Bombyx mori: one gene and its partners. The protein of the gene in region 1 interacts with the protein of each later gene in a biochemical or structural test. Links are inferred from orthologs where the notes say so. Each region holds a gene or a part of one and is shown on either strand. Other genes may lie near its edges. The genes, in order: ADP-ribosylation factor-like protein 2; retinal rod rhodopsin-sensitive cGMP 3',5'-cyclic phosphodiesterase subunit delta; tubulin-specific chaperone D.

The links.
Region 2: the proteins of ADP-ribosylation factor-like protein 2 (region 1) and retinal rod rhodopsin-sensitive cGMP 3',5'-cyclic phosphodiesterase subunit delta are reported together in a solved structure, tested with the Homo sapiens proteins (2 studies listed by BioGRID and IntAct, with this or other methods). The link is inferred for Bombyx mori from reciprocal best matches to the Homo sapiens genes ARL2 and PDE6D.
Region 3: the proteins of ADP-ribosylation factor-like protein 2 (region 1) and tubulin-specific chaperone D form a complex in vitro, tested with the Homo sapiens proteins (2 studies listed by BioGRID and IntAct). The link is inferred for Bombyx mori from reciprocal best matches to the Homo sapiens genes ARL2 and TBCD.

Annotation. Positions count from the first base shown.
Region 1 is NC_085131.1:275,552-279,147, forward strand, and holds the end of ADP-ribosylation factor-like protein 2, read left to right. Parts: coding exon 1-79; intron 80-1,076; coding exon 1,077-1,211; 3' UTR 1,212-2,151; downstream 2,152-3,596. Other genes in the region: pinin, read right to left, coding at 3,399-3,556. UniProt on the Homo sapiens protein: Small GTP-binding protein which cycles between an inactive GDP-bound and an active GTP-bound form, and the rate of cycling is regulated by guanine nucleotide exchange factors (GEF) and GTPase-activating proteins (GAP).
Region 2 is NC_085119.1:5,232,199-5,237,867, forward strand, and holds the start of retinal rod rhodopsin-sensitive cGMP 3',5'-cyclic phosphodiesterase subunit delta, read left to right. Parts: upstream 1-2,139; 5' UTR 2,140-2,213; coding exon 2,214-2,284; exon of another isoform or gene 2,285-2,634; intron 2,635-2,783; coding exon 2,784-2,815; intron 2,816-3,392; coding exon 3,393-3,544; intron 3,545-4,793; coding exon 4,794-4,930; intron 4,931-5,669. Other genes in the region: ubiquitin-protein ligase E3A, read right to left, coding at 424-607, 859-893. UniProt on the Homo sapiens protein: Promotes the release of prenylated target proteins from cellular membranes. Modulates the activity of prenylated or palmitoylated Ras family members by regulating their subcellular location.
Region 3 is NC_085115.1:7,803,105-7,808,647, reverse strand, and holds the start of tubulin-specific chaperone D, read left to right. Parts: upstream 1-2,104; 5' UTR 2,105-2,261; coding exon 2,262-2,621; intron 2,622-2,702; coding exon 2,703-2,862; intron 2,863-3,368; coding exon 3,369-3,492; intron 3,493-3,754; coding exon 3,755-4,005; intron 4,006-5,543.

The DNA of each region.
Region 1 (3,596 bases):
TCTGGCGGCCGCCACGCTGCTCGTGCTCGCCAACAAGTGCGACCTACCCGGAGCACTCTCCTTGCAACAAATACGAGAGGTCATTATTACACATATTCACATGGTTATGTAACAAAGATTTTATTTACAAAAACACTTTTCTAGTAGATACAAATACCTTAATTTCATCCATATTTGCCAATAAAATAAAAACAATTGTTTTAAAGTTTTAAGAGATTTGAGAAATGACACACACTCACGAACTACGTTATCTGGACGTGGTGCAAGAATTTGTGTACTTGGGGTCATTAATATCCAGTGACGGTGATTGTGACAGGGAGGTGGTCAGGAGGGCCCAGATGTCAAAATCAGCCGTGAAGCGATTGGAGACGATTTGGAGAAATCGCAGCATAAACAAAAAAACTAAGATAAAGCTCATGAGAACCCTTATCTTCTATATCACAGAAGCATAAGCATAAGCGTACAAGAATATGGTTCTTGTACGCTTCTGAGACGTGGCTCCACGTACCCTCAAGGCTCGTACCCGATCGAGAATTGACGCATGGGCGTATCATAGACGGAGCGCCGAACAAATGTGTCAATTCTCTCGGAGCTAAACGTCAAGACCCGTCTATCTACGATCTGTATGCAGCGTCTCCTCAAGTACTTCGGACACGTAGCCAGACGAAATCCTGACAACTTGGAAAAACTAATAGTTGTAGGTCACATGGAAGGAAAGAGAAGTCGAGGAAGATTGCCAACCAGGGGGACAGACATTGTCAAGGAGGCCACAAACACCAGCGTCCCGGGCGCCATTAAGCAGGCCGAATGCAAGCAACATTGGAGGAAGCTAGTGCAAAAACTGGACCAAGGTGGTCACGACCCTCAATAATGAGGAAGCGACAAAGAAGAAGAAAAATGATGCTCTGATCCTTTCGTCACTATTTTCCATTGCCATCACTGGTTATTCTATATGATCTCATTCCTTAATGCTAAACAGTATTTAAGTCTATTCATGTTGGTTAGCAGATTTTAAGGTTGCTTTTTTATGAATAAACAGAAATTAGTTTACATAACAAAAAACATTTCGTTTTCAGGCTCTAGATCTCGACAGCATAAAATCTCATCACTGGCGCATCGTGAGGTGCTCTGCAGTCACCGGAGAGAACCTTTTAGAAGGAATCGACTGGATGTTAGACGATATTGCGTCGAGAATATTCACTCTAGACTGAATTTATTCTATTTTCTTTATAAAGCACTATATCACAAGATAAATTGTGACGTCATAGTAATAATTTAAAAAAATCATAAGAAATTTACAACTATTTAGAAATAACAGCTCATTCTAACAACACTTATTCAACACTAAATATTACTTAGTTTTTATTTCACACATTTATTTAACATAATCCATTGAAAAAAATTACCTTTCGAAAATGCTGTACATTCAAGTAAGTTTTATATGTATCGTTAATTTTTTATGATTGAAATGTCAATCTTGTGAATTCTAAAATCCTGCATGGTAAATTTACGATATCAAAGAAGAAAATTTAAAGGATAAAATAATTTATCATTATAGTATTATAGCATTTTCATTAAAATATTAAAATAGTTTGTATTGATAGTATTCCATGTTCATTAGAAAGTGTAGTGTCCTATGTATTTTTAAAGTAAAGGTAACCCTCCTATAACACGGTAGATACATTCCTACAAAGTCCCGTGTTGTGCGCAACCCTGTTACTGTTATATGAGACCAGAAGCCAGTACAAAAAGAGTAATTTTTCTGAATGAAACATCTCATATAGATGAGATGTTACAATGTTACATGTAAAATACAGGTATACCCGATTTTTTTTTCCTTTAATGCATAGAAAAATAGCAAAAATTTCGTTTATTCCGATATACTGTGTGTTCATAGTGCATAATGTAATTTTCTAAATAATTTTAAACAAATCAACATTATCCTGCTGGAGAAGTACTGTGTTACTAATAAGGGATTTGGGATTTTTCCTTTAGTTTTATAGTGAAACCGTGTTTTTATAGGAGGGTTACCTGTAGTTAAAGGTCTACACACACATTTTCAAAATGTAATTAGGTTTACAAAATGCAGATTTAATAAATTTACATATTAACTGTGATGCTTTTTAAAAATAAATACATGTAATGACAAAATTCTTATTGTAATATTTTTACTGTTTATCCTTGCAGCTGGAAGCCCTTACGGAAGGCAGGTGGTGCTCCCTACCTTGCAACATAACGGTTAGGAATTTGGTAACTGGAGAGGGTAATAAGGACTTGTAACGAAATAATAGCAGTATCTCCAGGACAGTCTAGAACCTCGGATTTACATTGAACATAAAAGAAGAGTAGATAACAATTGTTCTAAATCTATATTATACATAAGGACATTACTAGTTAACAATTTTCTCCAGGCTGAACCACGTAACCTCACCTACTGCCTGTTGCTGCCAAAGCATTCATACAATCCGATTTGAAAGCTAGGGCAGCCTTTACCTATTATTCATAAACGTTTGTTAAACAAAAGAAAGATAATAATAATAATATTGAAAGGCCTAATTTAGGTTTAAAGCACAAGAACATTAAGAACTCCTAATTAAGTGTTATAAAGAACAATAAAAAACGTACCTAGTAGTTCTTTACTTGACTTTACTTATTTATTGCTTAGATGGATGGACGAGCTCACAGTCCTGGTATTAAGTGGTTACTGGAGCCCATAGACAACTACAACGTAAATGCGCCACCCACCTTGAGATATAAGTTCTAAGGTCTCAGTATAGTTACAACGGCTGCCCCACCCTTCAAACCGAAACGCATTACTGCTTCACGGCAGAAATAGGCAGGGCGGTGGTACCTACCCGTGCGGACTCACGTGAGGTCCTACCACCAGTAATTATAATTTTGCGGGTTTGATTTTTATTATACAATGTTATTCCTTTAACGTGGAAGTCAATCGTGAACATTTGTTAAGTACGTATTTCATTAGAAAAATTGGTACCCGCCGGCGGGATTCGAACACCGGTGCATCGTTAGATACGAATGCACCGGACGTTTTATCATTTAGGCCACGACGACTGCTATCAGCTATACTTACTTATTTATTAAGAAAATAATGAAAAACCATTTTAATACGAATAAACTTTTAATATTTTCTCTTGTCTATTTGTAAAATTTATCAACTTTGCAGATTTATTCCTATATTACGCCTCGACATGACCGACTAATGTTCGCTGGATATTACCCAGTGTATGTACCTTCAAAATGACTTTCCATAAGCTGCTGTACGCTTGTAAGAAAAATCTGGAAATACCGTGATAAAAGTAGACCTTTATCACAGAACTTGTGTTCTTCAAGTTCCTACTCTGTTGATAATATTACCAGTCATGTCGATGTAAAGTCTACTAAGATTGATTAATAACTTCTTCTGTTGTTTCGGTGGAAACTTCGTCGTTTTTAGGATTGTCATTCACCTCTGATGGTTTTTCAATTATTTTACCTTCATCATCTTTTATATTTCTATCTTGTGGTTCAACAATTTCTGGTGTATTTTCTTGTTTTACTGCAAAGAGGTAGTATGGTTCTTTAGTATATGTGTAGAT
Region 2 (5,669 bases), on another chromosome or scaffold:
GGAATATGTCAATTACAAAACTCTATCTAATCTATCCAATTTCAAGTGTTATCAGATTTTAGTGAAACAAAATTTATATTCAGCTCTACATTGATCTATGTTCAATAATTTTGTTAGTTTTATTTTAAAATGTATTAATGATTTTTACTATTGACAAAACATGAACTTCCTATAGTACTTACTATCAATAAGTACTTATAAAATAAATAAATTATGCTTAGATTTGCAAATGAATAGTGTATTTGGTATTTACAATACAATTTTTATTTTAGGGCAGTCGATTGGTGTATTCCTACTTTCGTGTTTCCATACAGCCTGTTTTAACAATAGTGTTTATACCTAGAAATCTGAATACAATATTTGAATATATTCACCAAATCGGTGGTTAGTTTAATTTCAAAAAAATATATATTCATTACTTACCGCCCCACTTGATGCACAATATCTGTTATCACAGTTAACATTGCCACAACCATCTAGCAGTTGATAAAAATATTTTTCAATTAACTGCTTGGCTGCGGCTCGCTTCATAATATTTCCTGATGTTAGCTGGTCTTCAACAATGTCAGGGGTTGAATTTATCGATGATGATGATGCTTCGCTCCCCCTGAATGATAAACAATAGTAATGCATATATTTATTACAAAACGTAACAAATATATTTTCAAACAACACTTTATTTTTGCTTAAAGGAAGGTACTAAAATAGCAAGTAATGCTTCATAACCCCTATCAACATTTTGTTTCTGCACGAAACAAATACAATAAAATTTAGATATATTTTGGTAATCTTAAAGGTCAACGTGATGTGAATTTTTAAATATTAATAATATAGTGAAATAATAAAACAGATACATACCTCGAAGCTTCGACAGACTCGCTTTTCGGGTTCATAGAAAATTCTTAATAATCCTGTAGTGATTTCAAACGGCCAGTTACATAAATACGGTGATAACGTAAACATTAGCAGGGTACAAATTTTAGAAATATTTTTTGTGTTCACCTCTTGGACTAAACAAACAACATTTACATAGTACAACATATAATTTTACCTATTGGCTATTATTGTGTTTTATGTAGGTACCTATGTACAAAATTACAAATTGAGATTTTTGTGAAATTTTCTTTTTTTTGTTACGGCCATTGGCTACTGTATCTTTTGGCAAAGAAAGTGCACAATCGTTGATTCGATTTTGTGGTTTAGTCGATTTGATATTGATGTGCACAAGATCGTTTTGAAGCTGTCATATAAAAAGCCTGTTTGACTGAATCGACATTTGTGAATTACTGTAAAATAAATTTAAAATTTGAAATTTATAGTCTGAGACTCTGGAAAATGCTCTGTAGTAGTTCACAGATTAAAATATTAGTTACTGAGCATTTCTCAAAAAAATTGACCATAGCAGCCGCAATGTTGATGTCCCATACTTTGGTCTTTGATGATGTTTTTATTACGATAATATAAATAACATACATGACAGTCGTAACTTCATTGATATTACTTAATTATCAGAGAAAATATCAAAACAATAAATAAACCACACTAATTACAATAAATAATTAATAATCTAAAAACCAAAATATTCGTACTATGGAAAATAAGTTGTCCCATTAAGACCGCAGTGATTTTGAACTCATTTATTTCATTACATTCTATTTGTATTCTATTTACATTCTATTCATATGATGTTATGTCATATGTCATATGATGACGTTAATTGGTGGATCCCATGGAGTTAATAATAATACTAATCTCTATAGAGGATCCCGAGAAGCTATGTCCAGTGGCTTTGTTTCGTTTTCCCACATTTGTGAACTTTCACAGATATCAAACAGTTAATAAACCACCGTTATTACACATTTAAACCTGAAGAAACACTAAATAGATAAAATAAAACAAATCACACAACTTCACTCCTCGCGTTCCCGCCAAAAACAACCTAAAGGTCTATGTTACCAGGTCATAAAAAAAGACCATAGACTTAATTTATGGAGCTTGCAAAAAAAACCCCAGAAAAAGTGGTTTTCATTTTTCAATGTGAATGTGAACAATATTGTGTTCGTAATTGAATTTAGAGTCATAGAATAAACACTTAATTGTTTAGAGTATTTTGTTAGACAGAAAAATAAACACAGTTCAGTTCGCTGTTAAGAAAATCAGCAATCAAAAACATAATCATATAAAATTGGAATTGAACTTTTATTTTCGCAAATATGACTGACGTTCTAACAACTGAACGAGATAAAAATGATCGTGTGGAGACTATTCTGAAGGGATTTCAAATGTATCCTTTACATATGTTCTTTTTCTTATATTGCCCTTAATGCCATTGTGAGTTGAGATCCTTTAAAATCGAATAGTTGACGAGTAAGTCGTGGCGTTACGTCTAGCAGGGCACCTTTTTTTGCTTTTTGGATGATTACCCGACTGTCGAGAGACTTTAAACCAAGTCCTGCCTATTCTTTTAAAAAGTATTTTTGCATTATTAGGCCCATCGTCTGCAAACATAATGCTGTTCCATAGTAATTCAGTACCTAAGCATTTGTACCGTGCATCACTTTTGGAATGAATTTCTTCCCACGATTATGCTGTTGTTTCCCACAATAGTCCCACAATTAAAGTTTGAAAATGTACCTGAAAATGTAAAAATAATACATCCTCAATTGATGTATTTAACATGTGATCCCTAATTGATTATAAACAGCGTTAAAAATAAATAGATTCATCATTTCAATGTGTTTTACTTAACAATTGTCAATAATTTTTTAACATTGCAACGTCAGTAATTGGATGAATCTTCGTGATGCTGACACAGGTAAAGATCTAGTCATTGAAAAAAAAACGTTTGAAATATATTAAAATTAAGATCAGTAGTAGAATTTGTTTTGCCTGTAAATTAGATATGCAATTTCCAAAGATAAACAAGTCAGTTACTGATTGTGTATATCATTGTTTGTTTTTTTAAATATACTCAACAGAATATAATTAAAAGTTATATGATGCTATAGTTGATGTGAATGAAAAATTAAAATAAATAAATAAATGACTAATCTTGGGTCCAAGGTGGTTAATTGTTTTTACATTGGGATGTCTATGAGACCACTCCAGGAGCAAGATTTATTAAATGTTTTCTAGTATTTAAAAATCCTACAAGTAGCTTCACCAGACTGCTGATGATTGTTGTATAAAATATACATACTCAACACATAATAATAATACTCAAAACTGTAATAACATATCGCGGGCGAGCAAAGCGTGGCAATTTTTTTTTCTCATTTTATGAAGTTTCTTAAATAAAAATCAAACTACTTTTAGATACTTAAGTAACAGCAATGTTATAATTTTTCCCCTATTGCACATTTATATTTATTTTATTAATAATTCTTTTTCAGGAAAAATTCTTTGGCAACATAATGAGGACATGTCAAGTCCAGATGCGGAACACGAAGCAAGAGTACCCAAAAGAATTCTCAAGTGCAGAGTAGTGTCTCGTGAAATGAACTTCAGCTCAATAGAATCCATGGATAGATTTAGATTAGAACAGGTACATCTATACATATAAATAAAATTAGAGTGTCTGTTTGTAGTATTGAAATAACAGCTTTTTACTACATTCATATGAATATATATACGGTACATATACCAAAATAAAATTTTTTATAATTTTTTTTTGTCTGTCTGTTTGTTCCGGCTAATCTCTGGAACGGCTGGACCAATTTTGATGAGACTTTCACTAATAGGTAGCTGATGATATAAGGAGTAACTTAGACAACTTTTTTTACACTAGCTTCGCCCCGCGGCGTCTCCCGCAGTTATTGTCGTACCGCGCGCTACATGGCTGGCTTGGCCTATCAGTCAATAATAAAATTTAATGTTTCCGAAGAGAAGCGAGGGCGGGTCGCTAGTGTTAAGATAGTAAGCAATTAAAGTAGAATTAGTTTCCAACTACAAGCATCATTTAACATTATTTATGTAGCCGATGAGTCAGAAATACTAAAAACAGTATGTTGTAGGTTAGATAGACTAGACAGTGTTGATTAGTGTTCAGTAGATGCTTAAAGGAGGGGACGTCATAAATAGACTTGGAGGGAATGTGTGAACCCCTTTCACACATTCCCTCCAAGTCCATATGAGTGAAAAGGGTGTGTATGGGTAAATATGATGTATGATAGACCTGAATGGAAAAAAGGTCATCATTGTATAAAGGCAAGAATAAGAATAAGAAAAAGTGTCATGATAGTTTTGATTTAGGTGGAATTATATTTATCAAACTGATATTCGAATCTGAGTATTGAGTATACATCTTCCTGTCTTATATGTATGTTTCTGGTATCCAGAACATGGGAGAAATTTCTGGCTTAGACTGTATAGTGTGAAATGTTTGCTTGTTAAAATAACATCACCATCAGCATCTATCAGTATAATTGGCCACAGATGTGACAACTTAGAACTGTCTGAATCCAAGCTTTGCTCCATATTTATATCATATTATTTCAAAAATAATTCATTCATCTAGTTTATTTTAATTGACTTGAATTAATATGTTCACAGAATTATAGAATTTAAACTATCCAATCCTGCATTTAACTGGTAGTACACTTACAATTAAATATAACATTACCAATCTAATTAGATATAAAATATAATTTTTACATAGATAAACATTTTATTATTTGGTAATTCGGTACTAACTTCATTAATAACACATGGATTTTGAGCTACTCACACCTACAGCAATAGAAAATATATAACTGATTTGAACACTAAAAAAAACTAAATGTTTCTTTTTATAGAAAGTACTCTTCAAAGGGAGATGTTTAGAAGAGTGGTTTTTCGATTTTGGTTATGTGATCCCGAACTCAACGAACACTTGGCAATCCGTTATAGAGTCAGCGCCTGAATCGCAAATGATGCCGGCCAATGTGCTCAAGTAAGTTTGATAGTATATAAAATTTCAATATAAATTAGTATAGATGGGCAGATGAGGCTACAGCTCACATTTAGGTGATACTGAAACCCAAATACACTATGAAGTGCTTGTGGTGACTAACCTGAAAACATGTGACCTATGTCTGTTACATATTGTATAATATCGACAGATATGGGAGCTTTTCTGTAGAAATATGAGTGGTGATATTTACCTGAGCGGAATCATAGTACAGCCTATCTACACTACTAATTAATCGAAAGTTTTGCATTTATTTAGTACATACTTATTGTAAGATAAAAAGTGCGGCACCCATTAGGCTAGGTACACTGCATTTATCATGTTGCTTGTTTACCAGAGCCCCAAATAACCTCAAACTAAATGTTAATACTACCACTCCGAGACCTGAGAACATGAGTTGGTTGCGTAAAATTATCACTAGGGCTGAAGAAAATTTTTGGAATTATTCTAATTTTATAAATATATAAATAGAATTAGAATTCATAACACCTGAATATGTGAAAACTGCCAAATTGCCAGTTTCTTTATTAGGGTTAATAGTCCACTTTTAAGTCTTGGTTACAAGGATCAGATTACAATTTATTTCGCTGCCAAGATAAATTAGAATGTTTTCCAGTAGGGATATCCTGGATAGAACCCTTGATCTCCAAACAACTAATTAAATATGTCAAACGTCAGACCAGAGCTCAAGTATTTTGGCGGGAAATTTTAAAACTGTTCC
Region 3 (5,543 bases), on another chromosome or scaffold:
TTTTTGAATTTGCATTTGTTTTATTTTGAATTGTTAAAGATAAATTTTCAGTTGTCATAAAGGTACCTGCTCTACTTCACTGATGGTCTACTTAGACCACTGAAGTATGAAAATGACTTTTAAACTAAAAGGCTTGTTACACTTGGCTGAATTTAGTCAACTGAATTCAGTGAAGTGTAATAGCATTAAGTAAGTTAGTCTACTGAATCCAGTAACAAGGATGGTTTCTGACTGACTAAATCATTTAGAAGCCTAATTAGCAACGCATTCAGGTAGGTGTAATCGCATTTAGTTACTTAATGGTTTCAGTCGTCCCATAGCTCTCCGTGCGTAAGGACATTTTAGTTTGTTTTTTGCTTCCGAATAAAAAGTATTAATTTCGGTCGCCTTTATTTAATGTGCCAGATTATACCATATGACAATAATCATATAATAGATATATAGGTAATAGACTATCGTAGGATAGTATCCTGCTTTTGAATAAATGGTGTCACAAGGTTTAATATTAGGTCAAACGAGATCGAATCTATTTATAAATAATTTTTTAAGTCTGCTGGTTCTAAATCACTCATAATATTTGCTAACATTCCGCACAGCAATCAATATTTCTTCAACGATATCCCCTTTTTTTTTGAGAAATTGATTATACGCGTTTATACTGACAATTGATTCAGTAACTGAATTTAGAGCAGTGTAATCAGAAGCTTCTAAATTTGCTTCTGAATTCAGTCGACTAAATTCAGCCAAGTGTAATAAGCCTTTAACGCAAAACTACTTTAAAGATCTATGCGCCAAACTCGGCAAAACTGTTAAAACGTTCATAGTGACTTGTAAAGATGGGTTAATACCGATATTTGTCAATATTAGCGAATACGAATATATTCATTATGTAATATACCTTAACTAATACGTGAATATCCTCATATCGTATTATACTTCGATAAAACGGGTAAACGAGTTAAACCTAATACGGTATTTGTGAAATAAGTTAATAATCATAGATAATACACATAAATTAGTTATTAATAATATAAATAGTATATTGTATCTAGGAATTTGATTTCATACTAAATATTTTACAAGTAATATTATGTACATTAAAATGAATATTATTATTAAATCAGAATTTGGTCAATATTGTACATTAATATAAACAACAAGTTAGTAATATTATTTATTTCTTATTGGTGCATAAAAACATTAGCTTTTTTACTTTTTCTACCGAAAGACTCGTACGTCGGTCAGAAATGAGTTTACCAGATTTTGAAAAAATCCTCTCACACGGTACTGAAGTGGCTTGTAGGTACACAACAGTTATAATATTATAATCCCCGAACTGTTTGTTTAGAAAGTCATTTCGATTCAAAAATCAAACATTTATTTATAATTTGAGAAGTTCTTAGAAGATAATTAAATACCACCGCAAAAATATATTGTCATCATAATTTATTACGTAAAAACACTTAATTTAGTTCTGGCCGTATTACGTTTTGTGTAAAAAATATTTTAATTTATGAAATTGGTAAACAATGTCAACTGCCTACTTCCGTTTTTCAAATCATCATTTTAAAACCAACTAATTCGAAGGCAACAGAAAATAAAATTAAAGTAATGAAAATAAAGCTCCCCGATTTTATTCCAATAAATGTAAAAATGTACTACTTTGCCTTGAGTAGAATCTCTAGTTGAATCAAGAAATGAAGGTCCAAACATTAAAAAGTAATGCGTTTAAAAATTCCCACTAGCATCTTTGACATGTAAAAAGTTGAATTAAAAAATAGTCCATAAACTCATAATGATATGTACTTATTTTCATTGCTCAATATGTAAAAATATAGTTTATTTCACTTCCTCTTAGCGCATGCAGTATTGTTATGAATGTGATAGACAGATATCCGCGAGACACGTACGGCGTATGCCAGTATATTTCAGAGTGATAGATACAACCCGACCGATGTGAGTTGGCTAATATTATGAATAAAGTGAATACGGAATATTAGCATATCAGAATTCGACGGATTACCGATACACGAATACAAGCTGTATTACGAATATCTTAATGAATACTAATATATCGGTCTCACCCTTAGTGACTTGTCAATTTGTCAACTGTCTACAGTGTCTACCTACTATTGTTTTTATTCCTAAAAGTTGAAGATATGAGCTTTATTTACGAAATTTAGTGCTTAGTAATTCAAATCATTAATAATAACTCACGAAGTCAAACCTTTTTCGCGAAAAGAGTACATAAAAGAAAAAAAATGGTGGGGTTAGACTCTGAGATTAACCGGGATGACGAATGTGATAATATTGGGCTGGGATGTGCACTCGAATACTTTTCAGAGGTCGAGGATGTGATGAACATGATTGATAATGTAAAAAATGTTTATAACACCTCTGCTTTTGAAGTGGAGTACGATAAACTTTACACAATACTTAAACAGTATTATGAACAACCACATCTGTTGGATCCACATTTAGACAAAATTCTATCGAAATTTTTGTTACTTATCAAAGATAAAGATTCTCCTTTCGAACTGAAACATGCAACTTTTAATTACATGTACCAAATCATAAGAGTTCGAGGCTATAAGGTGGTTGTTAGACATCTTCCACATGAAGTTAGTATGTAAACTAAATTGTTTGATATGAGTCCATGACATAACAATGGATTTTATTAAAGAGAAATGTATAATTTTTAGGTGTCTGATTTGCTGACTGTATTGGTATTTTTGGAAGCTCAAAATCCTGATGATAAGGAAACATGGAGAAGCAGATTTGTCTTACTGTTATGGTTGTCAATTGTTGTTATTATTCCATTTCATATGAGTCGCCTAGATGGATTCGCTCCTGGACAACCAGGTATGTTATAGAACATCTATCAATGACCAATACATACCTACCTTATGATATTTTAATAATGAATAATAAGTGGTTGAATGTTAATCTGTCTTTCATGTATAAAAATAGCAGTAGTTGTGACATGATTTCATAAAGAGACTGTCTTGTGTTATAGAATGACAAACATTATTTTTTTTTGTGTTGGAATAGTAATTCTCAACTGCTTCTTCTGTGGCACACAATGATTTTAAAAGTTCAGAAGCTATTTACTGTGTAAAATAATGATGTAATGATAATGTAAAACAATGTAATGATTTTGGCTGCACATAAACTAGAAGAATTAGGTGGGCCACAAAATTGTCATAGTGCAGTAATTGAGAATCATTCTTTTAGAATAACAAAATGGAAAAAATTGCTTTGGCAATTTTGTAATTTAATATCTAAAACTTTCAGTGGCATAAAATTTTCGAAATTTAAAAGTGATAGTTTTATTCATGATTACAAAATGAGTAACACATGTTTTTCAGAAGCAGGCACTTCGAAAAAATTAACAGTCATGGAAAGAATCTTTAATATTTGTAAAACATATGCACTTAGCAAAGATTCATGTGCTGAAGCCAGTGCTTATTTAGCCTCTAAATTTTTTACAAGGTAAACCTTTTATTTATTATTATTGAAATTCGGCAATGATAAAATGACAAAAATTCTGATTAACTAGAGGTCCAGTCAAATCTATGACTTGTTTAATGACAAATACAATACATATAGTATTTAATTTTGAAGATGAAATATTGACTTTACTTTGCTGAAATGAAGTGGCTCCTGCTGCCCACAGATATATGTAGTTGGTACCAATGGTGCTTATTTTAACTTGCCTTATATAAATCTCAATATATAAATATACAACCTGCAGGTCAGATGTGAAAGAATTATATATGGGTGCATTCTTTGATTGGGCCTGTGAGCTGAATTCAAATTTAAATGAAGAGAACACTATACACTACGGGGTTTTAGCTGCTGTTGCAGCTGTTCTGAAGCACGGGAAAAGAGATGATTTACTACCATATGCACCTAAATTACTTGAATGGGTTACGAACCAAAACTATAAGCATCATAATGCTATGCTTGTTAGAAAATATGGAGTTAAAATTGTCCAAAGAATTGGTAAGCATAGGCTATTTCTATAGAGAAATAGCTTTTTTATTATTTCAAAATTAGAATCTGCCACCCTTTGCTTATGCATGGTCTGGTCTTGTATTTGAGGGATTGGGTGAACAAACAGTCAATACTTGGAGCCTTAAGTAACCATCTTTGTATCAAGGCCCTGAACTTCATTCCACTTCTTCAGATATTGCCAATATATACACATTTATCTAGATTTATTTATTTATTTAATTAGTCTACTTACAAATTAACAGTATAAACCAAAACATTTGTAAGGTATTAATAATTAGCTTAAGTAATTCCTGACAACAACAATAAATCGTTGCAAACCATCATGGAATATATCCATTTCCGGAGCATAGGCTAGCACGCCATTGAGTAGCGAAACAGCACGATGCACGGTGGGTCGATACTATGATTTTAGTGACTTAGGGACCAACTTTGTTTTTTAACATTTTTCTTTATGTAGATAGATAGAGCTCGTTAATCTCAATAATAATTGTTTTGGGAAAAAATTACAAAAACTTTATAGTTTGGTCAGAAAAATGTGTTTTGTGATTTTTTTGTATGGAGCGGGTCACATTATATTAAATTCCTGCTAAGTACCGCAAGGTCCCGCTTTGAAACTTTATTTTCCTTACACCTTGTCTAGTCTACTATCATTTGATGCTATGAACATGTGCATAAAGTAGCAACTCTGCCAAATAAATGGATCGAAAAAAATGAATAAATACATGGAATAAAAACCTTTATATATTTTTTTCGTAAGTGCTTTTAAGTTAAATTTGATATGGATAGTAAGTAAAAGCACGTAATGATACCCATAATTACAGAATACCTAACAACAATACATTTAGTAGGTCTCTAATTAAGCAATCGCTCTAAGTTTTATATATTTTGTTTCACCATTCGATTTTTGGGCCAGAAGACAAAAGAAGATTGTGTAAAATATCCTCATTAGTCGACGTTCTACTTATTTTTCTAGAAGAACAACTCTCTGTATATTTCGAAAATCTTTATTGAGAGCTTCCGCTGCCTCTTCCGAGAGCTTATCTATTCGAATGGCACCAAAGTTCTTCATTATTGTATATCACCGCCATGAGCCAACAATTTATGGATACTGAAAGGCATATAATACCAGGGATATAAATTAACATACAATTCTGCAGTATATCTACAAAATTCGGAAAAATTGGAAAGGTCCACGCGCTCTCCAGATGCAACAGTCTGAAGAATCACGTGAAACCACTCTATTCAATCTTTACGTATTCCTGTTATGCGGGCTGTTCCTTCTGCATCCCTAAAAAATCTTCTGGCAGTATTGCCATAATTGGTTGTTCCTACTTCTTGCTTGACAACATCTATAAGTAAACCGCATACTGGAATATTTCTTCATTATTTTCTCTTTGACAAGCAAGTGTCTCCAAAAAGCCCTGACAGTTTTGCTTTGCAAATATCACAGACAGCAGAAAATGTTTCTGACAAATATGAGGTTATTTTGCCGTCTATCACCGTTAAGTGTAATTGATGATTCACTT